Astyanax mexicanus: one gene and its partners. The protein of the gene in region 2 interacts with the protein of the main gene of each other region in a pairwise test. Links are inferred from orthologs where the notes say so. Each region holds a gene or a part of one and is shown on either strand. Other genes may lie near its edges.

Region 1 (7,896 bases), on a different chromosome or scaffold from region 2:
AGGCCCCCGGGGACATGGTGTCTCACGAGGGCCGGCTCTGTAGGTTAGACTGTAAGGTACATTAATTACGCAGTGCTGATATGAACACGTGCAGTTTTCAGATGAATTTAAGATTCTCACAGAACTGTTTTATTTAATCTCAGGTAAGCGGACTCCCCCATCCGGAAATGATGTGGCTGGTGAACGGAAAACCAATACGTCCGGATCTGACTCACCGGATGCTGGTCAGAGAAAACGGGGTTCACTCTCTAGTTATTGATCCTCTGTCGAAAGACGACGCTGGAACGTATACATGTATCGCCTCCAATAAAGCCGGGCAGAGTTCTATCTGCCTCACGCTCAGCGTTGTCGGTAAGAATTAAATCACCTTGATTCGCGTGCGTCAAAAAATACTATAATAATACACAATAATCCACAAAAACAAGGAAATAAATCAGTTAAAAAAACATTTTCACGCTTCTACTGGATGCTAGTAAAGGTTAATTGTTGAAAAACATCAATGAACACAGTGAATTTAAAAAAAAAAATTGGTATTTTGCATAAAAAAGTGTAGCATTTTTACCTCTTAGTACGCATGTGACCTTTGGGGTGACTACACTTTTTTAATAATTGTATTTCTATTTCTACACAGTAACTTACTCTTACAGCCTTCAACATTGAAATCAGGCTATAGTTAACTATTATATAACACATATATACAGTATATATACCCCAAGAGAAGCAGCAGCAGCCTGTGGGGAATGACTACACAGTGACAGTAAGTGAGAGGTGGGAAGACACGCCCAATATGCAAATAGCATGACCAACATCAGGTGAAAACCCCTGAATAATTGCTCAGTAGACCCTGTTCAACTGGGGAGTCAAACTGAGCATGTGCAGTGTGCTGTAAAGTGCACAGAAGTTGGCTCGTCATCAACTATTGTTCAACTTTTTTACAAAAAAACATAATAATAATAGTTGAATTAATATAGTAATTATTTTGCTTTAGTTTCCCATACAGTTCAATATTTCTTGTTCAGATGATTTAAAAATCACATTACGCAAAACAAATATAAGTTTTGTTTTTTTTACAGTATGTGAATTATTCAGTTAATACCATATATTGCACCATATATAAACACTGTTTTTTTTTTTACTGTTTTTCAGAGAAAGAGGTGAAACAAGCTCCATATTTTGTGGAAAAGTTGCAGAATTCCGGAATCACAGAGGGAACGCCAGTCCGGCTGGAATGTCGGGTAGTCGGCATGCCCCCACCTGTGTTTTTCTGGAAGAAAGATAATGAAACTCTGTCTGAGACGACAGAGAGATTCAGGTGAGTCTCTAAAACTCTAAAAACTGAAATAAAACCACTATTTAATAGAGAACACTACAGTGTACAGTATATACACACTGTACCTATGAATATGACATGACTTTAAATAATAACCGGCCCTCAAGGGAGATGTTTAAAAAACATATTTTTGATTTTTTTTTATATTGCAAATTTTTTATTTATGAAAAATTCTTGTATACGTTAAATTTTTACTCTTGCTTATAATTTTTTTAATCTAGTTTGCACCAAGACACAACAGGATACGGATGCCTTCTTATTCAGCCAACCAGGAAAGAGGATGCTGGCTGGTACACGGTGTCTGCAAAAAATGATAGTGGTATCATTTCATGCACAGCCAGACTAGATATTTATGGTGGGTGAATGTTTCTTTTTTTTCATTGTAGATTTTAATGTTAATGTTATTCAATAATTCATACCTGTCAGAATTATTCAGAAATGTTCAAACTTCAGTTCAGTGTGTGTAATATACTTTTATTATATAAAAATGGTCTTATGTAACTGTGAATCAGAAATATTAACACTTATTTACAACAGTAATAAACATTATTAATGGATTAAGTGATGTCTCAAGTATTAATTGACATTAGTTAAGACATTTTTAAACATTCTTAAATCTTAATGGTTAAGAATGTTGTAAATAATAAAAATATCTGCAAAGCAATTTGCAATGGTTCGGATTTCATCCAGTTTTTTCTTTCTGTAGCTCAGTGGCATCAACAGGTCCATCCACCCATCAGGAAACCATCACTTACTGGAAGTCACTTTGCTGCACTAACTGGAGATTTTAATAATAAACCAGTTTATCCTGCGATATTCAACACTTCTCAAGGAGAATCTACTCAAGAGAGCGAGGAGCTCTGAAAACCACCTGCTTACAATAATCATAAATCATGTCATAAATTTAAAAAAATCACCTGAGAGCATCTGATATATTTATTTTTATTTTTTTCAGAAGATGTTGTTTAGCATTTGGGTGCCTGTGGTCTAATCTGCTGTATTATTTTACGGACAGAACTGTCTCTAAAACTGCATGTTTTCACCTTAAACTGGCGAACAGAAACAATAATGTTTTTACAATAACATTAAAACTCTGAATTCTGAGAACTTAAGGAGCAGGATGTTCATTTAGCTTCTGCTTTAAGACACTTAGGCTACGTTCACATTACCTGTTATAAGCCGCATTGCTCAAATCAGATTTTTTGCTCAGATCTTGACGGTTCACATTCACTGTAAATGTAAGTGATCTGTATCTGTGTGTAATGTGAACGAAGCTGTTCCTGAAACACCGTCTCACATGCGCCTCACATTAATACCTGTATGAACGTCTCCTTCTTCACCAACAATCAAAAAAAAAAAACTCATATTAGAGAGAGGAGAGACTCGTAGCTTTATAAAGGGAAATGTTAGCAGCTCATATGTGGAGCATCTTTTGCTGGAGTGGAGAAACAGGAAGCAGCTGGTCTGAAGTTCATGCTCAGGTCGAGGAGGTGAAAAAAGGCCAGGCGGTTTGCTTTTGCTGTTTTTTTTCCGCAGCTATAGCTGCACAGCTACACCAATAGATGTAGTGTGGGTACGAGAAAGAAGCACGTAGCGCTAATGCTATTGCTAATACGGATACGACCACATATTAAAGTGACTTAAATCTGATTTGAAAAAATCTGATTTGCCACGTTCACACAGCCATGAAAAAAACAGATCTGAGCAACATTGAGCAAAAAAAAAAAACAGATTTGAGTCACTTCAGCCTGGTAATGTGAACGTAGCCTGAGTGATATGACTGATTTGCAGTGGGGGGGGGGGGGGGGGGGGCACTAGTAAAACATCTATTAATATAAAAATGCTTTAAAGCACATTACACTTCATTCACACAGTATGATTTTAGAACACAGGCAGCCATTGCTCTTTTGTTTATGGCTTTGGGATATATGTATGTATTTATATGTGTGTTTTCTGTGTAAAACAGATTTTGATCAGCTTTTTTGAGTTTGAGATTTTTTTGTTATGTACAAATATGGTGAAATTATTAATAATATGGATTTTATTGATTTTCAAAACTTTAAAATGAAGAAATAAATAGAACTAAAATTTCTGTATGTGTGTGTGGCTGACCTCAAAAATGAGGTGGAAAATCATGGATTGTAGCAATGCAAATTAATTAATAAAATTTTATTTTTAAAGCAAACTTTATACATTCATTTAATGTTGTCACTGTCACACTGATCTTTTTTCATGTTTTTACATAACGTGAATCTAAATGTTATTCTTGTATCAAATTTATATCATTATATCAAAGGAGGTCAGTAAATTAAATGGCGGTTGGGTTAAATGCCAGCAAATTGTGGAATCCGATCCAAGGTGCAAAAGACTTGTGACTTGACTTGGACTCCAGCTTATAGACTTGTGCCTTGAGTTGGAGTCTAGCCTAAAGACTTGTGACTTGTCTTCGACTCCAGCCTGTAGACTTGTGATTTGACTTGTTCTTTGGCTTAAAGACTTGTAACTAGACTTGGAGTCTAGCCTAAAGACGTGTGACTTGTTTTGGACTCTAGCCTAAAGACTTGTGACTTGACTTGGACTTTGGCTTAAAGACTTGTGACTGGACTTAGACACTGCCTTAAAGACTTGGGTCTAAGTTGGACTCCAGCCTGTAGACTTGTGACTTGAGTTGAAGTCTAGCCTAAAGACTTGTGACTTATTTTGGAGTCTAGCCTAAAGACTTGTGACTTGACTTTGACTCTGGCTTAAATATGGATAACTTGACTTGGACACTGCCTTAAAGACTTGTGATTTGTTTGGACTCTAGCCTTAAGACTTGTGAATTGACTTGAACTCTAGTCAAAAGACTTGTGACTTTACTGTCTTGAGATTTGACTTGGAGTCTAGCCTAAAGACTTGTGTCTTGCTTTGGACTCTATTCAAAAGACTTGTGACTTGTTTTGGACTCCAGTCAAAAGACTTGTGACTTCACTGTCTTGAGACTTGACTTGGAGTCTAGCTTAAAGACTTATAAAAATATAAAAATATAAAAAATGACCTTGACTTCGACTCCAGCCTATAGACTTGTGACTTGACTTGGAGTCTAGCCTGTGTCTTGCTTTGGACTTGATTCAAAAGACTTGTGATATAACTTGGACTCCAGCCTACAGATTTCTGACTTAACTTGGACTCCAGTCAAAAGACTGTAGACTTGTTTGGGACTCTGGGTTAAAGATTTTTAAAGATCTTTATATAAACACACCGCGGCTCAGAGAGAGAGCTTCTTTCAGTGGGAGAACAAAGGGCTTTGTTTGGTGTCTCTGCTGCAGGTATTCAGGGTGAGGTCGGGTTATTCTCTGTTGTTTTATTGTATCGTTTCACAGAAGAGCAGCTCGTGCAGTTTTTCATTGTTGGCCGGGGCCGAACTTTCCACAGAACCGAGCCGCTGTAAAGCGGAGACCAAAAAGCACCACAATAGTTTGTTTGACGCAGCAAAGCCCTGCTTTATTTCTGCCTCGTGCACAATGGTGACTGGAAGGGTCTGAGCGCAAAATCGAGAGCAGGGGAAAGAGATTTTTCCTTTTTTTTAAAGCTATTTCGCCGGATGGGCCCAGCGGGCAGCGGTCAGTCTAGCATGAGCCCTCCGAGGGTGAGCAGCCCAGTTTTCACACATTAAAGGTGCTGAGGGCACGAGCACTGACTGAAAGAGCAGCGCAGCCATGTTCAAGACCACCTACAAGCACGAGGTGCACAAAAAGAAGTACGAGCGCACGGACGTGTTCGAGGACCCCGGCAGCCCTGAAGACGATGCCGAGGCCGCCCAGCGCGGACATGCCGGCGCCCGCGCCACACTGCCCGCCTGGGAGAGCCTGCAGGAGCTCAACAGCCGCTTCGCTCGCTACATCAACCGCGCCCGAGTCCTCGAGCAGCGCAACGCCGTCTTCCGCGCCCAACTGGAGACTCTGCAGCGCATGGAGGAGGCCGCAGGGCTGGAGGAGGCCTTCCACGAGCAGATCAGCGTCAACCGGCAGCGCATGCGGGAGCTGCAGGCCGAGCGCGCCAAGCTGGAGCGCGAGATGAAGGAAGCCGAGCGCATGCTGGACGAGTTCAACAGCAGGTAAACAACAACAACAACAACAAGCACCTAAAGGTTTATTCATAAGTTATTACTAAATATTACTTATCATATAATAAAAGATAATTACAATAATATAATATTACCTGAATAATGACACATTAAAATTAGTCTCACACATAGACAAAAAAGCAAAACAATACACACCTAGAACCATACACACATATAACTTACAAAAAATAGACAAAAAATAAATACAACTTACAGACATGAAGCATGCAGTAAAAAAATAGATAAAAAAAAAATCATGTTTAAATACATGCACAGAGCACCTTAAAAAATATCTGTCCAGAAAGTAATTGCATAGTTACTACATGCACTTACTATGCTGAAATGAAGTGAAACATCGCTCTTAACATATAACTTATCTAACTTTTTGAAAATATAACTCACTGTATTTACCTCAATACTAATAAAATGGAATTCTTTTAAGAAAATTGATACTTTAAAATGCTTTAAAATCATAAGATCAGTCACCATTCAGAAAAAAGAAGATAACAGGGTATTCTTTACACATAAATACCATCACAATTTAAAGTTAGAAAAGAAGAAAACAAGTTAATAGATATACAAAGTGAAAGTGTTTAGACATGAGTAAAAAACATAAGATAATCATAATCAATCCTCACTCATTACGTGACATTTTAATAACTATTTGTGAAAAATTAGGTCATAATTTTGATATATGATTTATAAGCATTTGAACCATTTAGAGAAAAAAACTTCTGAGATGGTGAGAAATTTGGTAGGTGTGATCTTAAAAAAAAAGTTATTAGTCTCACCCTTAAAATAATAATGAAATATACAGTCCATTGCATCAACATATATTTATAGTAATACAAACTTAATAGAACAAACTTAATAAAAGAAGAAATAATGGCATAATTCTTAAAACAGGTTGTTTTAAGATAAGAAAATTCAGATAAACAGAAAGGAACAGAGAGAGGATCTTATTTGCTGCATCATATTGTTTACTTCATGTTTCTTATTCAGCACAGAAGTTTTGTTCAGTTTTCCTTTCTTCAGCTGAGGATATTGAGTAATCTACTGTTTTATACACAAAACAGTGTATAAAATAATGCATATGCTGTCAGAGAATTTCACACACAGATGTGAAGTCACGGTTTGGTTTAGGGTGGATCACTTGGTCGAGCTGCTTTCTGATAACCGTCTTTTTCCCACAGATACAGAAACGAGTGTGAATATCAAGAACATCTGCGAGGGACGCTGGAGCAGCTCAACAAGGTACGACAGTGTCTTTAAAGGATAAATAAACTCCCTGATTTTTAATTTTTGAGGACTCCAACCTCAGCTCAAATTCGAAAAATGCTGAAAAATAGGAGGAGTAGTTTGGAAGGGGCACTGGGTGATGTATGGGTTTAGGGGCGGGACAGAAAGGAAAGCTGATTGGACTGACCAGTGTGTGCCTCTGAGAGCAGTGAGACCCAGATGATTGGATATCATCAAGGGGCGTTATTATTGATTGTTTTCTTACACAGTTGAACCTGAGATGGCGCTGCAGAGCCAGAAATAACTAAAATAAGTGTTTTTTAAAGGTCAGCAAAGATTTATAAAAATGTATAAAAAATTGCTACAATGGAACACAATTTAGTGCCTCTTTAACCTCCTAGGACCTGCTGTCACATTTCTTTTTAAAATTTTGCTCTATATAGGCCTTTCGATTTTTTGTGAAGAAATTAAAACAAACAGTAAATACAGTAAATAATTATGTTTTTTCCTTTGTTATGTCGGTTCGTGTTGAAGCAGCACTTCAAATGAGACAGGTTGCTCAAAGGGGGCACAATTGTTGTTTCTACTTTTGTTTTGCACTCAGGCAAAAATGCTGCTGTGTTTAGGCACAAAATAACTGTTTTGCAAATCATTACTGATTGTGACTTCATTGTGTTCTATTGAAATATAAACCAAACGTCCTCATATGTGGACATTATTTTTTTATTTGTTTAGAAACTACATCATATAAAAAGATAATTCTTTGTTTTTACACTAATCAGGTGCCAATTAGCCCAAATTGTAAAGAGAAAAATAAAAATGCAGGTCATCCAGTCATTTAAAGAACTAAATATGTGAAACCTTGCTGACATGTTTGGAGTTAAGGAGAGATACTATTTACAGATTAGCTGTAGCTCTCAGAAGCAGAGCTTTCTTACAGGTTTCTAAATCTGAGAAAGTTGTGTGTGTTGTTTGTTGTGTTGATCTCTGACTGTAATTTTTGCTCTGGGATCTGCAGGAGGCCGACTCTGCGCTTCTGAGGAACCTGGAGTATCAGATTGAGTCTCAGTTCCTGCAGGACGACATCAGCTCCACAAGAGACCGACATAAAAAGGTAAAGAGGATAACGTGGCCGGCAAATGATCGCCGACAGCTTGGTCGACGCCCACACCACACCCAGTTTACTGTGACAGGTCTGATCAGTAATCAGTACCACATTATG
Region 2 (7,696 bases):
AAAACTACACTGAGGTATTATAATACAGTTTTATAATAGATATTATAGTTATAATTATATTATATTATAATATCTCAGGGTGGATTTAATAAATAATTAATACTTGAGAAATTATAATACAGTAAAAAAAGGATCTAGTCTTCAGGTGTATATTATACTACACTATTATTACTGTCCCTTTCCTAAAAATACCAGTTACTGTAAGTACCAGCAATTAATAAATGTAATATTTTTTAATCCATGATTTAGTCACATAATATTGTCGTGATTAATACATGACATTATTTTTAAGCGATTGGCTCCAAAGATACAAATTTTGTTTGTTTGTTTCTAACAATGATTCACATTTTATTCATATTTCAGCTTAGTCTTATAGAAGAAAAAGTGTGATTATTCGTCATTAATCATGGTATTCAATTTTAATCAATTTACAAAATGCTATACTGGTCATATCTCAGTTATAATCTTTAAAACTAAGATTTTTTGGGGGGGATTCATCTACAGGAAGAAGTCAGACGTATTTGTCCTCGCAGCAGCAGACGACTTGTATTACCACTGGCTGTTTATCATCGCCACCGCTGTGCTGTACAACTGGTGTCTACTGGTGGCCAGGTAAAAAACACCTGTCTTATTCTTACCTGTCTTACTGGTGGTGATTTAAAATGTTAAATATTTGCTTAATAGAAGGAATAAATATGTATTTCTAAAATTATACGAACAACAATTCAGTAAAAAAAACATTTAAGCTTTTAATACAGATCTGCTTTAGAGCTGGCCTGGTTGAGATGTTCCCTACATAGAAAAACAACAATTTAAGAGCTTCAAACCTAATGAATCGAGCAGGTCTAATTTAGATACTCATTTTTATGCTGATTTATGTAAATATCTGCAATTGTGCCCAGTGCAAAGGGGCATTTCCTGTGGCAGGCTCACAATTTAGCCATTGATATTTCAAACACAGGGCCTGCTTTGATGAGCTTCAAACCAACAACTACATTGTGTGGCTGGTTCTGGATTACCTCTCTGATCTGGTCTACATACTGGACACCTGTGTGAGACTGAGAACAGGTCAGAAGCCTCGGTCAACAGTCACAACACTCAAAAGTCTGAAAAAAAATTGCATTTATTGAAATAATGTACTAAATGTTGTACTTTTGGTTCTAGAAATGATTTTATATTGTTTTTTAATCACCTGAATCCAAATTACAAGAAAATAATTACATGAATTTCCACACCGCAGGTTACCTGGAGCAGGGTCTTCTGGTGAAGGACCTCAAAAAGTTAAGAGACACCTACATCAGCAACCTCCAGTTTAAGCTGGACCTCCTGTCCATCCTGCCCACAGACCTGGCGTACATCGCTACTGGAATCCACGTACCGGAGCTGCGATTCAATCGTCTGATGCGCTTCTCTCGGTTGTTTGAGTTCTTTGATCGTACGGAAACTCGCACAAGCTATCCGAACACTTTCCGCATTGGAAACCTGGTGCTCTACATCTTGGTCATCATCCACTGGAACGCCTGCATCTACTTCGCCATTTCGAAGTCTCTTGGCTTCGGCTCAGACCAGTGGGTCTACCCTAACATCTCGGATCCCGAGTTTGGTGCTCTCTCAAGAGGCTACATCTACTGCCTCTACTGGTCCACCCTCACGCTCACCACCATTGGCGAGATGCCTGCACCAGTGCGTGACGAGGAGTACCTCTTCGTGATCTTCGACTTCCTAGTGGGTGTCCTCATCTTTGCCACCATTGTTGGCAACGTAGGAGCCATGATATCCAACATGAACGCCACACGTGCCGAGTTCCAAGCCCGCATCGACTCCATCAAGCACTACATGCAGTTCCGCAAGGTCAGTAAGGAGCTGGAGGCTCGGGTCATCAAATGGTTTGACTACCTGTGGACCAACAAGAAGGCAATCGATGAGCAAGAGGTGCTCAAGAACCTTCCCAACAAGCTTCGGGCGGAAATCGCCATCAACGTGCACCTGGAGACTCTGAAGAAGGTGCGGATCTTGCAGGACTGTGAAGCAGGGCTCTTAGTGGAGCTCGTTCTGAAGCTTCGGCCTCAAGTCTTCAGCCCGGGCGACTACGTCTGTCGGAAAGGAGACATTGGGAAGGAGATGTACATCATTAAAGAAGGTCGGCTGGCGGTGGTCGCTGACGACGGCGTGACGCAGTTCGCCCTCCTGACTTCTGGCAGCTGCTTCGGCGAGATCAGCATCCTCAACATCAAGGGCAGCAAGATGGGCAACCGGCGCACGGCCAACATCCGAAGCATCGGCTACTCGGACCTCTTCTGCCTGTCCAAGGATGACTTGATGGAGGCGGTGATAGAATACCCTGATGCCAAGAAGGTGCTGGAGGAGAGGGGCCGAGAGATCCTCCGGAAGGAGGGACTGCTGGAGGAGCTGAGGGCAGGGGGGCTTACAGGAGAACAGATGGAGGAGAAAGTGGAACGACTGGAGACGTCCCTGGATACCCTGCAGACCCGCTTCGCCCGGCTGCTGGGGGAATACACGGCTACACAGCAGAGACTCAAACAGAGGGTCACCACTCTGGAGAGCAGGATGCAGCTTTCAGGCAGCGGGTTTCTGTCCGATGGTAACGAGAGCACTACCGATGGTGACGGCACTCACAGCGAGGTCAACATTCAGCTCTGAATGGAACTGGGTCTTTATTATGGGTCTTAATTCCATGATTATTCTAGACTCAGGGAGAACAAGTGGCTCAGAGGCTTGTTGGTTAAAGGAGAACTCTGGTGTAAAATGGACTTTTGTTGTAGTAAAACATGATAAAATATTCTTTCCTTTGATGAATAGCACACCTCCGTTCTCCCACAGCGTTCAGAGATCCAGACATTTTAACAGTTTGTCCAAACACCCTTCAGACTGGGAGATACGGGGCAAAATTTGCCTTGATGAATCACTTTTTACACCGTTATCCAGCTCAAAGTAGCTCCACACCTCCTCACTAGAATCCGAAGAGCCCTGACATTTAAAACGAGGCATTAATAACTTAAGGTAAGTACTTTTTTTTCATGTTTTACTTCTCCAAAAGTCCATTTTACACCGGAGTTCTCCTATAACACATTTCATGTTTTTTCCATGGTATTCCATGTCTTCGTGTCTGGGTTTCCTCCCACTGTCCAAAAACATGGTTAACAGGTTAAATGGAAACTCTGAATTGCCCTGGTGTGTATACTGTATGTGTGGGTGTAATTATGTATGAGAGTGTGTATGTATGTTTAAAACTTTTTAGAGCTTTTGAGACATTTTTTATACTTTTGCTAATTTCATTTTATAATAGTCTTTTAAGGACATCTGGAATCTGAAAAGGCAAAGGCTATGTTTAATGTCATTAAAAATAGATGTCTTTAGTGTCCACTAAAGCTGATATCCATATTTTAGTCAAAAATGTAAATAGCTCAGTGTTTTTAAATAGGTCAATAAATCAATAGGTCAATGGGTCACTTTATATGAGTCATTACCAGTTGGAGACAATATTTAACAATAAAATGTTTGTTTTGGGTGAAGACTGAAACATGTAAAGGCTGTATATATGTATATAAACTTTGACTTGTATTATTGTACTACATAAACTTTGAAGCTGATTTTTGTTTGAAACACAGATTAAAGATATTGTGTTTTAGTTTATTTCGTACTTTGTTTCTCTGGTCTTTGCTCCCATCTCACAAAAACACACATACTATGTGAAATAAAACTGATAAACCTGTTGCATGTGTACGCAGAAGAACATAAGAAGGTGGGTATAAAGAAAGAACATTTTAGTCTATGAAAACTCGTCAGAAAATGGATTAAAATTGAAATGTCAATATTTCAAATAATCAAATATCATCAAATCAATATTTCATTATAGCAGCGCCGCTGGACTGGAACATTAACTCCCCTTCGTATGATTGGAACTATTCTTTTCCATTATTTATAGAAAATATCGTTTGTAATTAAGCCTGTCTCCCAAATCACACACATACATTTTTTAAAATAAACACTACACAATAAATACACGCTAAATACAATTAGGTGGGGTCTTGTGCAGTTTGGGACACAGCCCTATAGTCTATATGATTTTTTTTTGTATTTTACCTCTGCTTTAACTAATACATTTTACTTTTTATTATTTTTTTTTTATTTGCATGCACTTGATTTTTTTTAAATATAAAAATACCAATATTCAATATACCAAAAAGACAGTTTAGTGGTCTCATAGTAAGCAAGGGAATAAATTGAATAAGAAAAAAAACGTAAAACGTACCTTATTAGGTACTTTTATGCAACTTTTAGACAGATTTTAACTATATTAATTGCCTCATTTAATTTTTGACAAAAATTTAAAGAAAACTACCAACCACTACTATACAACTCTTAATGTTTAATGGAAAATATATAAATATGTGTTTGTTTTACTCTTAATAGTCTAACGCATTCAAAGTTGAATTTTAAATACAGCTAAATTTGATTTTATATATATAAAAAAATATATTTACATTATTATTATAAAACTCTATAAAACGGTATAAAGAGAAGAGCCTTTATTTTAAACAGGCAAACGTAGGGGAAACTCCGGCTCGATCACAATTGACTCCCTTCCTTTATGCTAGGGACTGTTCTAAATGCGGTTAACAGCCTTTATTAATGGACTATGTAGTTCACTATGTAGGCAGCATGAAGCGTTTGAGATGTGCCCTCTGGTCCTGCGCAGTGTCAGTAGCGCCGCGCTGACGGACTTGTTTTTCCGCGCGAGGAGTTTTACAGGAATGGGATCCGGCTTTCTGCACTTTTTCTGAGGTAAATCAGTTGTACTGCTGTTTCAGGATTTATTCTCAGTTACTGCAGAGTTTATTATTATAGATTAAATCACATCAGCAGGAGTGTTTAGGTAACAAGCTTAACATTAGCCTAGTTCACTTAGTTAGCGAGCAGAGCTAACAACATAGCTAAGCTAAGCTAACTAGCGAAAGCATGACTAGCTGAGAGCTGAGCCGGGTAATTACTTTACCTTATTTACTTTATTTACCTCAACACAGCAAGAGTGTGTGTTTATCTCTAGCTTTCTATAAGTCTATATCTCTATACATATGTCTATATGACTTTTATACACACACACACACACACTGTGCGTAGATGGAGAGAGATAAGTCCCTTTAAAGTGTAAATTTGGTATAAACAAGAACACAAGCAAAGCAACAGCACATAAAAACATTAGAAAAGTTAATAATATCTAAATCATATTAAATAATATAAAATAATTAAAATTCCATATTTAGTAATCTCAGGAAATGTACTATAATCTTATTCAGTTCTTTAAGATGCTGTCAATTATCTGGAGACGATAGGACATTGGGACAGTCAGCAAAATTGGTGGTATTATCTAGCCCCCATGCCAGACTTGAATTATTTTGTAAAATTTCTCTTATAATTTATAATAATCTTATAATAATAATAAAGTCAACATTGAGGGATGTACTGTAATAAATCATGAACAGGGTTGCTTTAAAAGAGACAACTTGTTTTGTAACGATCCTATTTATTAATATTCTTTATCTAATATTTCAGTATTTAAAGAGAGGAAGATGTCCTTCAGTTTCGGACAGGCCAGTGCTGGTTCTGGCTTTACTTTTGGAACCCCTAAAACTACCAGCTCAGCTCCGGCTGCTGCTACAGGTTTTGGACAGCTGACCAGCACCCCGGCCGCAGGGGGCTTTACGTTCGGAGCCCCGACTCAGCCTCAGGCCCAGCCCCAGACCCAGGCTTCCATCGGGACGTCTCAGATCGCAGGACTGCTCGCTCAGCCCGCGGCCAACAATGGAGCTTCACAGGGGGGATTTAGTTTCGGTGCTGCGACGCAGAACACCGCTCCTGCTCCTGGAGGATTCTCCTTCGGGTAAGACTTTTTGTACAGGTATTACTGAGAGAAGACGCTGTACTGATAGATACAGGGGTTGGAGAATGAAACTGAAACAGCTGGTTTTAGAGCACAATAATTGATTGTGGTGACGGACAGTTCTGGTGGAAACAGGAGAGTTGAGGTGCACATTGAATTCTGCGTGATTTGATCAGCCGTGGTTTTATGTTTTTTGGATACAATCCGGGTTAGCACCCGAACATCCCTTTCAGACAGCTTCCTCTTACAGCGTCCACAGTTAATCCTGTTGGATGTGGTTGGTCCTTTACCCTGGATACCGTGGCTCTTGATGCATCACAAAGACTTGCTGTCTTGGTCACAGATGCTCCAGCAAGACGTGCACCAACAATTTGTCCTCTTTTGAACTCTGGTATGTCTCCCATAATGTTGTGTGCATTGCAATATTTAGAGCAGAACTGTGCTCTTACCCTGCTAATTGAACCTTCACACTCTGCTCTTACTGGTGCAATAATGTGCAGTTAATGAAGATTGAACACCAGGCTGCTCCAATTTAGCCATGAAACCTAAAATCCCACACTAAAATGATGACAGGTGTTTCAGTTTCATTATCCAACCCCTGTATGTCTACCTACAGTGGCTTTTCAAAGTATTCATACCCCTTAAACATTTTAACATTGTGTTGTCTTACAACCACAAAGTTAAATGTATTTTATGGAGATTTTAAATGATGGACCAACACAAATTAGCACATAATTGTAAAGTGGAACGAAGATGATCGATAATTATAACATTTTTAATCAAATAAAAATTTGAAAAGTGTGATGTTATAAAGAAGAATGGGGTAAAATAATTAAAATAATTTTAAATGTTTTCTCACTTCTAGTGCACCCACTGCGAAACTAGGCCTGGGCCTGCCTACTGCCTCTCAGCCTGCCAGTACTGGAGTGTCTCTGGGGGGTCTAGCAGCACCTTCCTCCACTGGAACAGGCTTTACACTGGGAGGTCTTGGTGCTCAGACTACAGCCGGAGCTCAGCCGTCTACAGGAGGCTTCAGCTTCGGGATGACCAAAGTTCAGACCACTGCAGCCCCGGCAGTGCAGACCACTCCCGCCCTGTCGCTGGGTGTGCAGCCTACAGGTCTGTGGTTTATCCTGATTTTAGGATTAGGGGTTGGCGATATAGCCCTAAAACAATATCACTATATTTCATGGCATTTTCGTGATAACAATACTCTTGGCAATATGAAAAAACACTTAATTAAAAAAAATATATTGTCCCTATTCAGGACAGTACCAGGGGTCTGCATGGGTACAATTAACTTTTATTTTATGTTCTGGCAGAAATCATTTATATAGCTATTCAGTACTTGATTATTTTGTGATTTAAATATTGGCTATTGGATTCTGAATCAGTGTTTCTGATTTTGCTATTTTAGGTGTATTTTGCGTAAGTTACAAGAAAAAGATTTAAGAGTTCAGAAATCAATATTTGGTGGAATAACCCTGTTTCTTTATGCATCTTAACATGTTTTCCACCACCAGTCTTACACACTGCTTTTGGATAACTTTATGCTGCTTTACTCCTGGTGCAAAAATGCATGTAGTTCAGTTTGGTGGTTTGATGGCTTGTGATCATCCATCTTCCTCTTGATTTAAATTTGGTAAAATCAAAGAAACTCATAATTTTAAAGATTCATACAGTTTTAATGACACCATTCTTTTCTTTTCTCTTTTTTCACCCTCTCCTCTTTCCTTCTGTTGGTCAGGTCTCACAAGTACTGCACCCGTCTCTACAGGCCCTACTCTCGGAGCT
Region 3 (7,852 bases), on a different chromosome or scaffold from region 2:
ATAAACATTTTTCTGAAATAATAGGTCTATGCTTTTTCAGTGTTGCAATGTTAATTAACATAATTCTGAACAGATTTCGCTCATTCAAACAGCCTGAATATATTCTAAAAAGCTCTAAAAAAATGTCAGGTTTAAATCGGGCTTGGGCTCATAATGATAGTTTATGGTGCAGGTTGGCTCAGGCAGAATATTCACAAGCTTGATGGGCTGAATTTTTTGGGCCCAATCTAAGCTCTACAGTCCACATGATCCTTAAATTTTTTAGTGATGATTCTGTATCTTTCAGGCTGTCCAGAAATGCATGTTGAAAGCAAGTCTTCTTGTTCTGTAATTATTTGTTTAATGATTTTTAAAGGATGTTACTTAAAATAACAAGGTATCCAATCACATTATCTATTTTATTACCAGTAACAGGGGAATACTACATAATACCAAAACAGGTAAATTAAAAATAGTACACTATTTAAAACATTGTTTTAAAAAAATCATACTACAAATTCCACTTCCTAAATGTAGGGGGAGCCAAGGAGCAAAATTGGCAATTCTCACATAATGCTGCTTTAAGTCAATGAAGACTCTATTTAACACGTTTTAGATGTTTTTAACAAAACCAAATATATGTTCAGTATCTGTCGATACACGAAAGTAATAAAGTATTAATTTGTGCCAGAATAAGGTGGTATCATTAAAGGGTCTAAAAAAATATCAATATTGCATTGCACCTCAGCATTTTGGTTTGCAATACTGAACAATTTTCAAAAACAGAATACATTTTAATTACTACTATACCTGTAGAAATTGGTGTCAGAAGTGGTTGATTTGTTGTGTTGTGTTTAAACCCCGCCCCCTAGATAACAGTGTTGTACTCTGTCGTTAGATCCCACTGTTCTGATTGGATAAAAAATAATGTTTTCTGTTACTCAGATCCTTTCTAAATGTGACTTTGTTTTTTATAGTATTATACTATGATACACTAAAATTGCTTGCAGTATATTGCAACATATCACAATATATTGAATTGTAAGCCCTATGTTGCACTAAGGTCTTGCCAGATCACATCTCTGGTGTCATGCCACAAACAATGAACTCTATTATCTTTTGTCCGTTAGCTCACACTGTTACAGGAGAAACTGCTGGTCGAGCTCCCTGAAGATGCTCTGATCATCGCTGGACGCTTCCCCTTCCCTGATTGGACGCCGTGCAGGATAGAGGGTCAGGGCGTGGACAGAGCCTGGGCATATTCTATAGAAGCAATCAGAAAACAGAACCAATCAAAGGACATCCAATCATCCGAAAAGAGCAGCTGAGACTGGAGAAACAGATTTTAATGGAAAGGACGGGGTTTTACACATTTTATCATTTTATCACATGGGTATTTATTGCTTTAATGATTGTTTTATGCGTCATACTGATATGAAACACCATATTTGCTTTTGCTTTCATTTTGAACACCAGCCACAGACATCATAAACACTTTCTGATTTGAGAATCAAAAGTTTTAGTGGAACTGTTCACACAGAATCACAATCAAATGCCATTTATAAAAGTATTTATAAAATATAGTGAATGTACATCTCTAGTTGAGTTCATTGTAGACCATTTTCTTTCTCTTCTTGACAAGTTATGGGTGCTAGAAGCTATTTTATTTATTGCTATTTTATTAGCTATATTAAATTATAGTACTGTATACTAAAACTATACATTTCTATTTATGTTAGGTTTAATCACTAATATTTAACAACTGTACTCCTTAACCATTATGGCTAATCTGCCATTTTGGAATTCATAATAAAAGCCCCTGGGCAGATGTATACTAAAACCAGTGACTGTATAGACTAAAATGATAAATAACATCCATTTTAAAATTATATTTAAACTATTTTATTTCATTTGGACTTTACTAAGTAAACATTTGATCAAAATATGGTCAAATATCTAAATTCTGTTCATATTTGAATCTCATTTTAAGGATTTTAAGCAGAGTTTGAATGTTTTATTATTATGACAGAGCAACATATTTCAGCTATTAATGTAAAAATTTAATTATTGTGACAGGCCTAGGTACAGGAGTATTTAATGTACACAGATTTCATATGATATTTTGTGATTAATATCATGTTTTTACGCTATATCAGTTTGCTCAAAAACAGTATTATGCTCAATAGTGATAGAAAAAAAATATGGGAAAAATATGGGTATTTCTCTATTCCATTTATTTGATAATTTGATAATGGTTTATTTTTAATTCTTTAATGCCTGAATCTTGTGAATACAAGTGCTATGTTGTACTAACTAACAAATATAAATAACGAGATCACAAGAGAAAATGTACAATTTATAAATGATCATAACAATGCTTCCTTTGTGTTTCACTCAGACTAGCTGATACGGTTCTTCTTGTATCAGACGCATAATGCGTAGATCACAGGATAACACACTTGAAGAGTTCTCTCAGCAATTGTGGGTTCTTTTTGAAGTTTTGGAGCATTCTGGTCACTTCCTGCTCCTGTATGTGACCTAGTTACCCTAGCACACATGCTCAATCTTCTCATTCAGTGACATGTATCTGAAAAAGAATGGCAAAAATAAACTAATTTGTTTGTGAGTGCGATCCTCATCACTTCCCCTTTATCAGAGACAAAAGATCAGTTTATGCGTGTATGATTGGCTATTCTTTTTCAAAGCTCCATGACTGTAGAAAGAGCAAATTCAAAGTTTGTGGGTTGACAACTGGTAAAATATTGACTATAATGCAAAATTTCTAGATCATAATGCTAAATAATATGATAAATGATGAGTGCAGTGAGTCAGCAACACCAGTCTAAGGGCATTACAGCTGAGAGCTCAGACCTAGTGCTTGTTACTTTTAGAAATGAGAAATGAAAACATGGGGGTTTCCTAATTTCCACAGGTCAGGCTGATAATGTGTGGATTGTTCTTCTGATTAAGGCCTCTCTCTCTCTCTCTCTCTCTCTCTGGTCTGAATGTCACCCCTCAGGCAAAGTGAGAATGAGCTAACTCACATGATCTTTCTTCTCTTACAAAAGTCCTTAAAACCTTACCAAGCAAGGATCAAACAGAGTACACAAGCTCAGTAGCATTGCAACCAGAAGACATAATAATAAACCACCATGGTTAACATAAAATAACATATCATAAAATGATGTCATAAAATAATGATAATACAAATTAAAAACAAATCGTTTTTTTAATAGTTTTCAGGATCTTAAAGGCTCTAGCATAGATGCAAGGTGAGACAATCTACTGCGCGGTTGAATATGGGGTTTACAAATTCCACATGGCATCCTGCAGCACATTTACCCACAGATGTTGCTACAGCTGGGCCTGTAGATCCTGTAGCTCTACACTCGTAGGTAGAAGCTGAAGGTGGAGTCCCAGATATGCCCTTAGACCATCAAACTCAATTTTAGTAGTATAAACAGCTAACTAATGAATTTGGCAGTGTAAATAGTTTATTAGGGTTTTAGTAGTATGAGCAATTTATAGTGATTTTAGTAGTTTAGTCAGTTTATTAGTGATTTTAGCAGCATAAACTGTTTATTAGCGATATTATTAGTGATTTTAGCAGTATAAACTGAGTTAGTATAATATCCCTGGTGTGCTTTGGCAGTATAAATTTAGTTTAGTAGTGATTTTAGGTGTATAAAGATTTTTAACAGTATTAACAGAGTTTATTAGTGATATGACTACTGATTTTAGTTAGGATTATATCACTGGTGTGTTTTTAACAAAAGAAATCGAGTTTAATAGTGATTTTAGTAGTATAAATTTAGGATTATTTCACAGGTGTGATTTTAGCAGTATAAACTGAGTTTAATGATGATTTTAGCAGTATAAATAGCGTTTATTAGCGATATGATTACTGATTTTTGTTAGGACTATATCACTGGTGTAATTTTAGCAGTAAAAAAATGAGTTTAATAGTGATTTTAGTAGTATGAAGAGATTTAGGACTCTATGATCGCTGGTGTTCGCTGTCTATTGTGTTCAACTGCACTACCTCCATTTTACATCACACACACACACTAAAGACTGTACTTTTATAATTTCATTTTATTGTTTATTTTGTTGTATTTATATGTATCATTTATATATTTTTTTATCTTTTTGTAACTTTGTGTACTATACTCACCTGCTGCTGGATGTCAAGAATTTCCCCTCGGGGATCAATAAAGTATCTATCTATCTATCTATCTATCTATCTATCTATCTATCTATCTATCTATCTATCTATCTATCTATATATGATTGGTGTGAATTTAATAAGGCTTATGTCACTGGTGTAATTTTAGTGATTTTTTAACAGTATAAAAAGTTTATTAGTGATATTAGTGATAATATCACTGGGGTATTTTTTGCAGTATAAACTAAGTTTAATATTAATTTTAGCAGTTAATATCACTAGTGTTTTTTAGTTAGGATAATATCAATGGTGTAATTTTAGTGCGTTTAGTGTGTGATTCTAGCAGTATAAATTGAGTTTAATAGTGATTTTAGCAGTATAAACTAAGTTTAATAGTTTTTTTAGTGGTATAAACAGAGTTTAATAGTGATTTTAGTGGTATTAACAGTTGGGATAATATTACTGGTGTGATTTTAGCAGTATAAACAGAGTTAGGATAATATTACTGGTGTGATATCAGTGATTTTAGTTAGGATATTATCACTGGTGTGATTTTAATTATTTTATTTAGGATTATATTAGCAGTGTGATTTTAGGCTAAAGCTGCTGCTGTAGAGACCGAGCTGCCTGGTTGTGCCACACTTCTTGCTGCGGCCGGTTTCATCCGGCCCAAGATTAAGATTTCACATCCGGCGGGGAGGGGCTGTGCTGGGGCGGAGAGAGGAAGCTGCGCGGCCTGGGCGAGAGAGCAGAGCCAGCGGCTGTGTTAAACTGCAGGCGGGGGTCGGGCGCTGTTCTCCTGGGCTCAGAAAAATCTCCAAAACGCGTGTGTGGCTGTTTCGGTGTGCCGGGGCGAGACGCTTTATCCAGGGCCGCGGTGAGCGTCGGTTAGTGGGGCTTGACACGAGCTCAGTCCGCCCCTCAGCACCACCTCCCCGGCCTCCACCGTAACAAGTGTCGGCTGCGCTTTCAGCGGTACCAGGCGAGGCCCTGCGGGACTGGGGTGAGCGGCATGCCGTGTATCGGCGCTTATAGACGGTAAGAGGGGGAACCAGAGACCGCAGGCCCGGGAGCAGCGATGAGGAGCCGGGTAGGGCGTCTTCTTTTCAGCCTGTAGCCGCAGATAAACACGCAGCAGCCCGGAGAGAAGACCACAGCACACCGGCTGGCCATGGTGAGTGGACTAGAGGGTGCTTACACACTGTTTTACTGTTTATTTGAGCCATTTTGGGTCAAAACAATCTAAAAAGCAACAAATTCACAAATTAGAGGATCCTGATAACCTGTGTGAGGCAGGGCTTGAGCTTTGTGGCCATATTTTAGCTAGCTATAACATTGTACCCCCTCCTTTATTGTTGCAACATTATCTAGCCATAGGTTTAGCTTGGTTAGTTATTGTCGTGATTTGTGCTAAATCTGAGCCTTTTAAAGCTCAACAGCTATATATGTTATGAATTTGGACTCTGTTATAACGCATATGAGCTGTTAAAGCTTAGTCATGTGGGAGTGAAGGTGATAAAAACGTTTCTAGCTAGCTTGGTTATGTTTATCCTCAATTATATTGAATAACATCCTTTATCATTGATATCTCATAACATTAAAATATATTTTAATACCCTTAAGCATATGGATAATATATTTAAGCTAGATTTCTTTGATTAGTGCTTAAGAACACCCAAAAACAAACATATACCCATCCCAAACCTTCACAAAACTCAACAAAAATCAACATAAGTGATCTATCAATGGTGTTCTATGGAGATGTTTATAGTTATTTCTTGGACACTAGTAATGCCACTAACAACAGGAGGGTACAGGCCAGCATATATGCCTCAATATATGCATGTTTGTGAAGCCATAACTGTGGGAGTGCAAACACACCAGACAGCTCTGGGAGAGCAGTTTAGAGCTATTTCAGACCCAAGTTTAGTTTCATTATATATTAAGTAGTTGTATCTATTTTTAGTCAGTAGTATTATATGGAGATATAATATATCTTGGACATGGTTGACAGCATATTTAGTTGGGCTTAGAACCATTTTGATAAAATGAGTATCATCTACACAATCAACTCTGTCTTTTAGGTATTGAAAGGACCACAATAGCCCTAAAACGAACATATAGCCCCCACAAACCTTCCTAATGCCCACCAAAGTAACTTTAATCAGTGGTCTTATATGGAGAGCTCAGATGTTGATTGTATCTAACCATGTCTTGGATATGGCTGAGAGTATATTTAGTTGGGCCTGGAACCATTGGAAAGATATCAGCCCCATTAACCTAACCTACCTGTATTTCAGGTGGGAAGAAGAACCATAAATATCCATTGCATAATGTTGAGAGGTTGCGAGACAGTAAGACCAACACTAAGGGTCATATCCTCACCAGAGGAGGATGCTTCTTAATCAATATTGTTCCTCAATATTGTCCTCACTCTTCTCAGTTCTGTAATTAAATATCACTGGAAGAAAACCTTTACTTAGAGCATATTTTTAGTTGAAAGAAAGAAAACAAGCATACACATCATCAAAACAGAAGCCCTACATCTGGGAGTGCAAATGTACCAGACAGTTCATCGCTTAGAGATTAGAGAATGAGAATACTTAGCATCAGCATCAAGAAATGGTTTAGAAGCTATACTGTATGTTTCAAAATTACACACCATGGCAAAATATATATATTTTTCATGTTTTATGCAGCTTAAATAGACTGACCCCAAATAATAACACCCTTAATGAACACCAAAATGGGTACAGCTCTTTTGAAATGGGTTATTATCACATATAGTTCACTTGTTTATCTCAACAAATTAGAAAATGACACTTAAAATAGAGCACGAAAGAGATGTCAGTCATTTTTTTCAGAGATGTTAAATATTAAATCGGGTCAAGATGACCCAAAATGATAAGGAATAAGTCCTTTAGCATCTCTGAGGATGCATTAAGTCTTCATGGCCGAAATTTAACTCTATTTTTCGGTATTTTAGATATTTCAGACTCTTCTCTCATGGTTTTAAGCAAAATCTGAGCATCTGCAAACAGGCAGGAACTACCAGACTGTGCTATTGGTTTATTAGCGGATGGCAAGCTGGTAAAATGTTTCTGAATTATGTTATTTTAATGTAATGATGCCGTGGTCCACATAATGGTCTAGATTAAACCAGCTCTTGGTGGTTCCCTCAACTCCGCCCCAGTGGAGGTATGTCAAGACGTGTCGAGACTTATACGAAGAATTCAGATAGCAGAGAAAAAGAGAGAAGAAACACACACACATACACTCTGTTCTTCCTCTAATTCTCTTCCTCCTTTTCGCTTTTATACTCAGGCGCACATACGTAGGCCGATGGTGTGTGAACTTGATGTACTAGAGAGGTTATGAGGAAACTGTGTGGTGGCTTAGTGTCAGAGCGATGGCCTGCACTCTTATCACTTACTTATCATGGCATCTCTCGCTCAATCTCTCTATCTTTTTTTCTGCCTTTCTGTTTTGTATTCTGTATTTTCTACACCTTTTTATTTTTTTGTTTGAATTGAAATGTCTGTACATCTGTCTCTCTGTTTGTCTTTATCATTCTTTTATGTTTCTGCTTTTGACATTCTGGCTCTGTTTCATTTTTGTGCTAACTCTATTCTCTCTCTCTTATTCTCTCTCTCTCTCTCTCTCTCTCTGTCTATCTATTGCATGTAGGCGTCGGAGGAGGCATCCCTT
Region 4 (7,569 bases), on a different chromosome or scaffold from region 2:
GTGCAGTGTAAAATACATAATTTTAGTACACACAATACATGGAAAAAACCATTGTCTACTGTGAGCTTTGCCTACCTCACCTAGTCTCAGCTACAAAACACTGGATGGAGCACAATTATTCCAAAACGCTCGATGCTGAAGGGTTTAAATACCACTCTAGACCAAGTCTGGCAACAGGTTCATGTTAATCTGCTATTTTATTGACAGTACTTCATTACAGGGACTAGTAAAAGTAGCTGAATTCATTTTCATTATATAAAATCTTCCTGTAAACAAGCACTCTTCAAGTAGGGCATGTTTATATAAAGCAAACATTTTAAAATTAGGCAATGATAATGACCTACATCCATCTCGCATTTTAGACAACACCCATATCTACAGAACTCTTTCACTAAAAGCATGCTGGAACATGGACTTGGCATTTTCTCAAGAACGCATGCCTGTACCTTGACTTTACGATCATCTGCTGTGGTCTCGTCGAACTCTTCTCCCAGTTTGAAGTTGATTTCTGTGTTCTTGAAGGTACTGACTGTCTTTAACGTGATGACATCACCTTCCAGGGAAATTATGGTGGTGGGTTTGGTCATGCTGCCAACCTGACGTGTTGCAAAGCCCACACCTGGAATACAGAATACAAAAAAAATCTATTAACTCATGCATATATATGATACATATGGTCAACTTTGAAAACTTAATGTTCTAATGTTTTGGCTGTGTGTTTTTTTTTTTGTACAAACCTGAGCACACATGAATGTTTAGCTAATAACACTATTTCCACATTAGGGGACAACAAAAACACCATGACTGAAAGGACCCAGAATCACATGTTCCTGTTCTTGCAGGAAATGGTTCTCTCAACTGAGCTTAATATATTCACACAGACAGAGCCCAAGGCATGACTGGAAAGTACATATAAATTAAACATATTTCCTCTGTCCCTCTCTCACTGGCTCACAACCACCCCCCACTAACATTCATTGGGTTACTCATGGGTGAACATGTCCCAGCAGATGACCAAACTCTGGAACGGTCATAAGGGTCAAGGTAACACTCACAGACATGCACACACAGACAGAGCAAGCTGTTCATATTGATCTGATTGATTTGTTCTGTAAATACAGTGGGTCAGTGTGGGCAGGGGTGACTCTGACCTTCTGATAGAGACAGATGTTTAAAAGCAAAGAAGCTAAACTAGCTAGTTCTTGCCCCACCCAACTCCCCACCACACCATCAGTCACACAGTAATTCCCACCATTCACTTAAGGATCCTCCCTAAAGCCCACCACAACCCACCCCCCCGCTTCTCTTCTCTCTAGGCCTCATCCACACACACACACACACACACACACACACTTTATGGACTGAACAAACGTCTATTGTGTGCATTGTGTGAAGCTTGTGAGTGATCAGTTAAGGCAGAGCACTTGCTGTTGCTGCAAGGCGTGGACATGTCAGGCCTAATGTCCCTCTCCTTTACACTTAACTTATAACTGCAGTCAAGCCGAAGTCAAGTCGATACAAGCCAACCTGAAACACTGGTCTAACAAATATAATCATAATCAATCATACTTCCCATTTCAGAAACATGAAGATTATGATGGAACCAATGGGAATAGGTTACAAATCATTGCACATGGTGTATAATATTACATTACTTAAAAGCATCCAGGCACTTTGGAAACTCCCTTTTTTTGCATGCACTCAAAAGCATGACTCACTTTTAACACACTCATATTCCAGAGATTATCATCTAGAGTCATTATTGTCAGACTCATAACTGAAAAATACAAAATGAGATCAAGGTACTATCTTGTTATTTTAACACTAATTTATTAGTCTGAGCTACTATTCATTCGTTTTTGACATTAAATATTTAATTTGAGATCTCATTTCAAGACACTAAGTCATTATTTGGAGATACTATCTTGATATTTTAAGACACTAATAGATTAGCCTGAGATACTAATTCATTAGGTTTGAACAATTCTCATTAGCGTAAGACGCTACATCTTTAGTTTACAATACATCTTTGGTAAATGAAATTTACACTAATTTATTAGTATGAGATACTAATTCATTATTTTAAAGACACTAAAACATTGAGATACTTCTTGTAAGATACGTAGCAAATCATTGTTTAAGTGAGTCTCACTATAGTAAGATACTGATTCTTTAGAAATGCTAAAAATACTATATAAAAGATCCTCACTTTATTGTGTATTATATATAGCAGGTTGTTATGCTGAGGAAGTAATTATTTTGAGATTTGTATTCAGGCATGGGCGTGTTGGGCCTAACCTCCCTCTGCTTTACTCTTTAACCTACATCTGCAGTCAGGCTGGAGTCAAGTCGATACAGGCCAAGCTGACACACTGGATTTAACACACCATAACCGAGCTCTCGAGCTCTAACGAGAAACGCGCAATCACTGCTGCTGCATGCATACAGCATGCACGTGGTGGGCACTGCTAGTGCGTGGGTGCCAGTCAGTGCATTACGATACATTTATCTGCGCATGCAGCTCAGATGTAGCTGGCAGAACCAGACAGGGGGATCCTCCCTCCTTCATTCATTCATCTTTTCATTCATTTATTTAACGTTATCTTTTCTCTCCATCTGTCCGTGCATCCACCACACACCTGCACATGCTCACGCGCTGCCTGTGGACAATTCTGCATTAGAGATAACCCGTGCAAACACACAGAAACACGGCCTTTTTGTTTCTCGTTCATGCACATCGCCACGCGATCACGATCACGAACAAGCACCTGCTCGCGCCCCTGTGTAAACATACTCACCCAGGGCTTTCATGTAGTCGTCGAAGTTCTTGCTCTCCTTCAGGTTCCACGTGCCGACGAAAGCCTCAGCCATGTTTTCGGTTTCAGAGCAAAGCAAAGGAGCGCAAGATGAGCAGACGGACGGAGCGAGTGGGAGAATGAGCGCGTGAGTGATGGAGGGGGCAGAATAAACGAGGCACGGAGAACAGCTACTCTAATCTTACTGGCTGATTTATACCGGCTGTTCCTAACGTCACCAGCCTGAGAAGGGGCGGGGTGGAGGAGGAGGAGAAGATAGCGGGAGGAGGGGGGGAGAGGGAGGAGGACAAAGAGAGAAAGAGAGGGAGACGAGGAGAAAAGAGAGAAAGAGAAGAGGTTATGGAGGGAGGGGAATGTTGGGTGGGATTGTGGGGGATGGTGGATGGGAGCTGTATTGAGAAACTGTGTAAGAATTAAGTAAAAGAGCAAGAGAAGAAGCTTGTGTTACTGAATGCAATCAAGTGCTCACAGCAATGAGTGAGCAAACCTAGTCCAGGACTAAATCTGCATTCAGAATACTGTATAAATACTCGTCTAAGACTGGGCTTAATCCCTATTTGGGAAGTTGCCCCAAGTGTCTCAAAACAATAAATTAATATCTCAAACTAACGAGTATCCCAATGTAATGGCTTAGTATATCAGAACAATGATATAGTATCTCAGAATAATGATGTAGAATCTAAAACTAATCAATTACTTAGTCTTAGTACCACAGCATGACTGTGTCCGTAATAAACCCTAAAACTTTATGGGTCGCTCCTATAAGACTATAGTCCTAAAGGACAAATGGAGGAATGTTGAGTGGGATTGTGGGAGATGGTGGATGGGAGCTGTCTTTAGAAACTGTGTTAGAAATAAGTAAAAGAACAAGAGAAAAATCTTGTGTAGCTGAATGCAATCAAATCCTCACAGCAATCCACATTCAGAATGCTGTATCATGCAAGACTGCGTTCGATCCCTATTAGGGAAACTGTCCCAAGTTTATCAAAACAAAAAATGAATATCCCAATGCAATGAATAATGTCTTATATTAATGAGATAGTATGTCAGAATCAGATTTAGAATCTAAAACTAATCAATTACCTAGTCTTAGTACCACAGCATGACTGTGTTCGTAATAAACCCTAAAACTATATGGGTTGGTCCTAGAAGCCTATAGTCCTAGATTATATTTTCTTTAAAACGTAAGAGAGTATTTTAAAATAATGATTTGGTGGCAGTTTTCTGGACTGGAATTAAGCCTCCTGGACTATATAGGATTTTGAATGGAGCTTTTCCATTAAAAGCCATTAGTTCAGGACTTAACCTTGTCCTGGATACTGTCCCTTAGTGTATCAAAACAATAAATTAATATCTCTGCATCATGATTTTGTATCTATAACTTATGTTTTAGTATCTTAGAATAATGAGAGAATATATAAAAAATAATCATTCAGTTTCTCAGAATAATTAATTAGTATCTACAACCCATGTCCACAGCATGACTATGATCATGAAAAGCTATATTGGTTATTTTCAGGACAGGGGTTGTGTTCTGTTCATGTCAGTGAGTAAAAATCCAAGTGTAGAAGCAACAAAACCATTTAAATCTGGGAGTGGAGAGAAAAAAAACACATATAGTAAGCAGAAGGTGATAGAACAGACAGACAGACAGATATCTTATATAAATAGCTTAATCCCTATCTGGAAAACTGCTCCTATCAAATTTTAAATTTTAAGTTGATAAATCTAAGTAATAACTCAAAAAATATATACAAAAGTCTATACAAACAGACAGAGGGAGGGGGGGGGAGGAATGGTGGTTGGTGGGGTGGTGGGATGTTGGATGGGAGCTGAACGGAAGAATTAAGTAAGGGAGGAAGGGAAGGAGGGACAACAACAGCTGTATTAACAGTCGCTGTGCTTAATAGTGTGTGTGTGTGAGAGAGAGAGAGAGAGAGAGAGAGAGAGAGAGAGAGAGAGAGAGAGAGATTGTTCAAGGCCTGTACAGCAACATGCCCAGGCTCTTATAGAAAGATAGGAAGAAAGAAAGACAGAAAGAGAGAATGTGGAGAAGGAGGAGAAGAGTGTGTGATTTAGGGGTCAAGGTCAAACGGTCAAACAGAGTCATGCAAAAATCACTTTCCCATCAGCCCTTTACACAACATGGTCTGTTAACCTCATCTCTGTCTCTCTCTCTCTCTCTCTCTCTCTCTCTCTCTCTCTCTCTGTGCTCAGGCCTCTTTCCCACCCTCAGCTCAGTATTTTGGGAGAGCCTGTGCTCTGTTTATCTCAGTCAGTGAAAATCCAAGTGTAGAAGCAACACAACCTTCTAAGACTGGGAGCGGATAGACAGACAAAAAGACATATAATATAGCAGGAGGAAGGTAATTTTTCTTAAAACACTTTCTCATTATTTTAATAATATTATAATATATAATATTATATATTATTATAATATTATAATATTTATAACTTAATAAATAAAATAAGTATTGGCAGATATGAGCTCCCATAAATAACACAATAACCACAACACACAATTGTGGTTCATGTTACCATGCAGAAAAACGTATGTTCTCATTGGCTGAGGAGGTGGAGTTTATATCATTTTTTGCAGGCCAAAGATCCTCATGGGACAGCTATCACCTGCAAAGAGAGATAGTAGATGTAGTTGTTCTAATTGTGGTTGGTGTTACTTACTCCAAATGCTCCACAGGTAATACTACACCTCATTACAGAGTCAGCTCCTCCTCCACAGCACAATGATGAATGTACACAGCAGGCAGCTGACCCGGCTCTGACGAGAGCAATTGTCCTTTGATTCTATCTCTCTCTTTCTATCTCTCTCTGTCTCTCTCGCTTTCTTTCTTTCTTTCTCTCGCTCCTTCTCTGTTGGGTGTCCTTTGTGAAATAGTGTGTATGTTTAGGCCATGTTGTTATCATAACAGGGTCTTAGATCTCATTATAAGCTTCTGAATTATTTATAGTGTCTGACATTCTGTAAGAAAGCAGATGTTGTGTCGTTTGCAGCTATTAGCAATCATCTGTTCCTGTTTGTTTCTCTGAGTGAACGGCTTCCTGCTGTGGTCAGCTTGGGCCGGACCGCGGGGACTGACAGTTTCCTGTAAAATCTGTAAAAAGTGATTTTATCAAGAAAGATCAATACAGAACATATTCTGTATGAGTGATTTCAGCAGAAGATGAAGTCCAATAAGTCATACACATCTACAACATCACTCTCTATTTCAGTCCACCTCAGACCAGTGCGCTGTATTAACGCAGAGGTGTCACCTATTAAAGAGATGTGACTGTGACTAAGACTGTGACTGTGGTGTTAAAATGAATTCCAGGAAGAGCACAGCTATTTAGTGTTTAATGTTTTCCTCCTCTAACACACTTTATTCAGCTCATAAACGACTTGGAGTTGAGCTGATTAACTGCTGTAGTGTGTTTATTAGAAGCCCTTTTTTAATTTCTTGAAAAAATGTTTACACTGACATACCAAAAGACAGCAGAATGTAAACTGATCATGAAGTGTTAACTGAGGGGACCATTTGGGAATGCCCACACCTATAAGTTGTGAGGTATTAACTTGTGAGTAAGGCTTTGTAGTGGGTGCCAGATGGATGAATCTAATAAATATCTAATAAATCTAATAGACACCCGTCCCTGGACAGTAGAGACAGTTATTCCAATAACAGCAGGATAAACTCCTTTTAATACCCTTAATTTCAGTGAAACAATGCATGAGAATATGTCCCAGTACATTTGTAAACTCTCAATTTCTGAAGAAAAATAAAATAAATATTGGGAATTTAGAGCATAAACCAACATGCAAAAAAAAAATTAAACCAGTGGTATTTTAATTAAGTATGTATCTGTTTTTCAGCCCAAAAAACATAATCATTTAAAGATCCATAGGCAAGTCATCAACAGTATGCCGTGCAGATTGATTTAGGGCGTGCTAGTGAGTCTTTGCTATCATAACGACAGGAAAAGTACGCCTTGTGCGACTCAAAATATGCAAAAAGCATGTACTAATTCTCTTAATTAATCAGGAGTGTGTTTTGGGCATAACATGCAATATTATGCTTTAAGAGTCAGGTGCGCTCTGACTGGCGGATTGCTATTTCAGTGGTGCAGCTACCTGGATGTGTTCAGCGCATCTTAGCAAAGGACAGTGACCTGCTCATTCATGCTGTAAGGTACATGGAACAGCAGAAATCCAACAAAGATCCTTGAAGTTGTATTTTGTAAAGCAATTGTATTTTGTTTATTATTGATGGAAAAGTGGAAAGGTCTGGCTGTTGACATCTGTGTAGGTTGTTTCCAATCAGTGGAGCACCTGTGTTTTCTGTTGCCAAGATCACTAAATTAGATCACTTGTCTTTCATCATCTATATTTTTTTAGGAGTGGGAGGAGGTAGATGAAAGACTTCTTACTTCTTAGGAAATTGTCTCTCTCTCTCTCTCTCTCTCTCTCTCTCTCTCTCTCACACACAAACACACACACACACACACACACACACACACACACAGATGTACTTTATATCTTTCACCTGCATTTCCTGTCTTAGCCAATCTGTTATTTAGCATGCTGCCACATACATTTTGATGGTCTTCTTAGGAAACTGTGTGAAGTGTACACACACACAGTGGGTACATTTCCCCTGTATTTCCTGTCCTTTTTATTATTTAAGTTTATAGACTGGTATTCGTGTACACATCGTCTATTAAAAGCAGTTAGACACTTTTGTGTCTACCGATTGCT

The links.
Region 1: the proteins of nup62l (region 2) and filensin interact in binary tests that used the Homo sapiens proteins (3 or more experiments, as listed by UniProt). The two-hybrid records come from large-scale screens. The link is inferred for Astyanax mexicanus from reciprocal best matches to the Homo sapiens genes NUP62 and BFSP1.
Region 3: the proteins of nup62l (region 2) and xpo6 interact in binary tests that used the Homo sapiens proteins (3 or more experiments, as listed by UniProt). The link is inferred for Astyanax mexicanus from reciprocal best matches to the Homo sapiens genes NUP62 and XPO6.
Region 4: the proteins of nup62l (region 2) and fabp3 interact in binary tests that used the Homo sapiens proteins (3 or more experiments, as listed by UniProt). The two-hybrid records come from large-scale screens. The link is inferred for Astyanax mexicanus from reciprocal best matches to the Homo sapiens genes NUP62 and FABP3.

What each region holds. Positions count from the first base shown.
Region 1 is NC_064414.1:2,560,448-2,568,343, forward strand, and holds the start of filensin, read left to right. Parts: upstream 1-4,895; 5' UTR 4,896-5,028; coding exon 5,029-5,426; intron 5,427-6,628; coding exon 6,629-6,689; intron 6,690-7,692; coding exon 7,693-7,788; intron 7,789-7,896. Other genes in the region: mypn (myopalladin), read left to right, coding at 1-56, 144-351, 1,147-1,312, 1,552-1,685, 2,037-2,194. UniProt on the Homo sapiens protein: Required for the correct formation of lens intermediate filaments as part of a complex composed of BFSP1, BFSP2 and CRYAA. Involved in altering the calcium regulation of MIP water permeability.
Region 2 is NC_064417.1:1,308,193-1,315,888, forward strand, and holds the start of nup62l (nucleoporin 62 like), read left to right. Parts: upstream 1-4,680; 5' UTR 4,681-4,806; intron 4,807-5,574; 5' UTR 5,575-5,591; coding exon 5,592-5,902; intron 5,903-6,767; coding exon 6,768-7,021; intron 7,022-7,649; coding exon 7,650-7,696. Other genes in the region: cnga2a (cyclic nucleotide gated channel subunit alpha 2a), read left to right, coding at 505-612, 962-1,068, 1,241-2,661. UniProt on the Homo sapiens protein: Essential component of the nuclear pore complex. The N-terminal is probably involved in nucleocytoplasmic transport.
Region 3 is NC_064426.1:39,391,170-39,399,021, forward strand, and holds the start of xpo6 (exportin-6), read left to right. Parts: upstream 1-4,842; 5' UTR 4,843-5,315; coding exon 5,316-5,318; intron 5,319-7,831; coding exon 7,832-7,852. Other genes in the region: antkmt (adenine nucleotide translocase lysine N-methyltransferase), read left to right, coding at 1,110-1,307. UniProt on the Homo sapiens protein: Mediates the nuclear export of actin and profilin-actin complexes in somatic cells.
Region 4 is NC_064410.1:50,268,635-50,276,203, reverse strand, and holds the start of fabp3 (fatty acid-binding protein, heart), read right to left. Parts: upstream 3,001-7,569; 5' UTR 2,872-3,000; coding exon 2,799-2,871; intron 620-2,798; coding exon 447-619; intron 1-446. UniProt on the Homo sapiens protein: FABPs are thought to play a role in the intracellular transport of long-chain fatty acids and their acyl-CoA esters.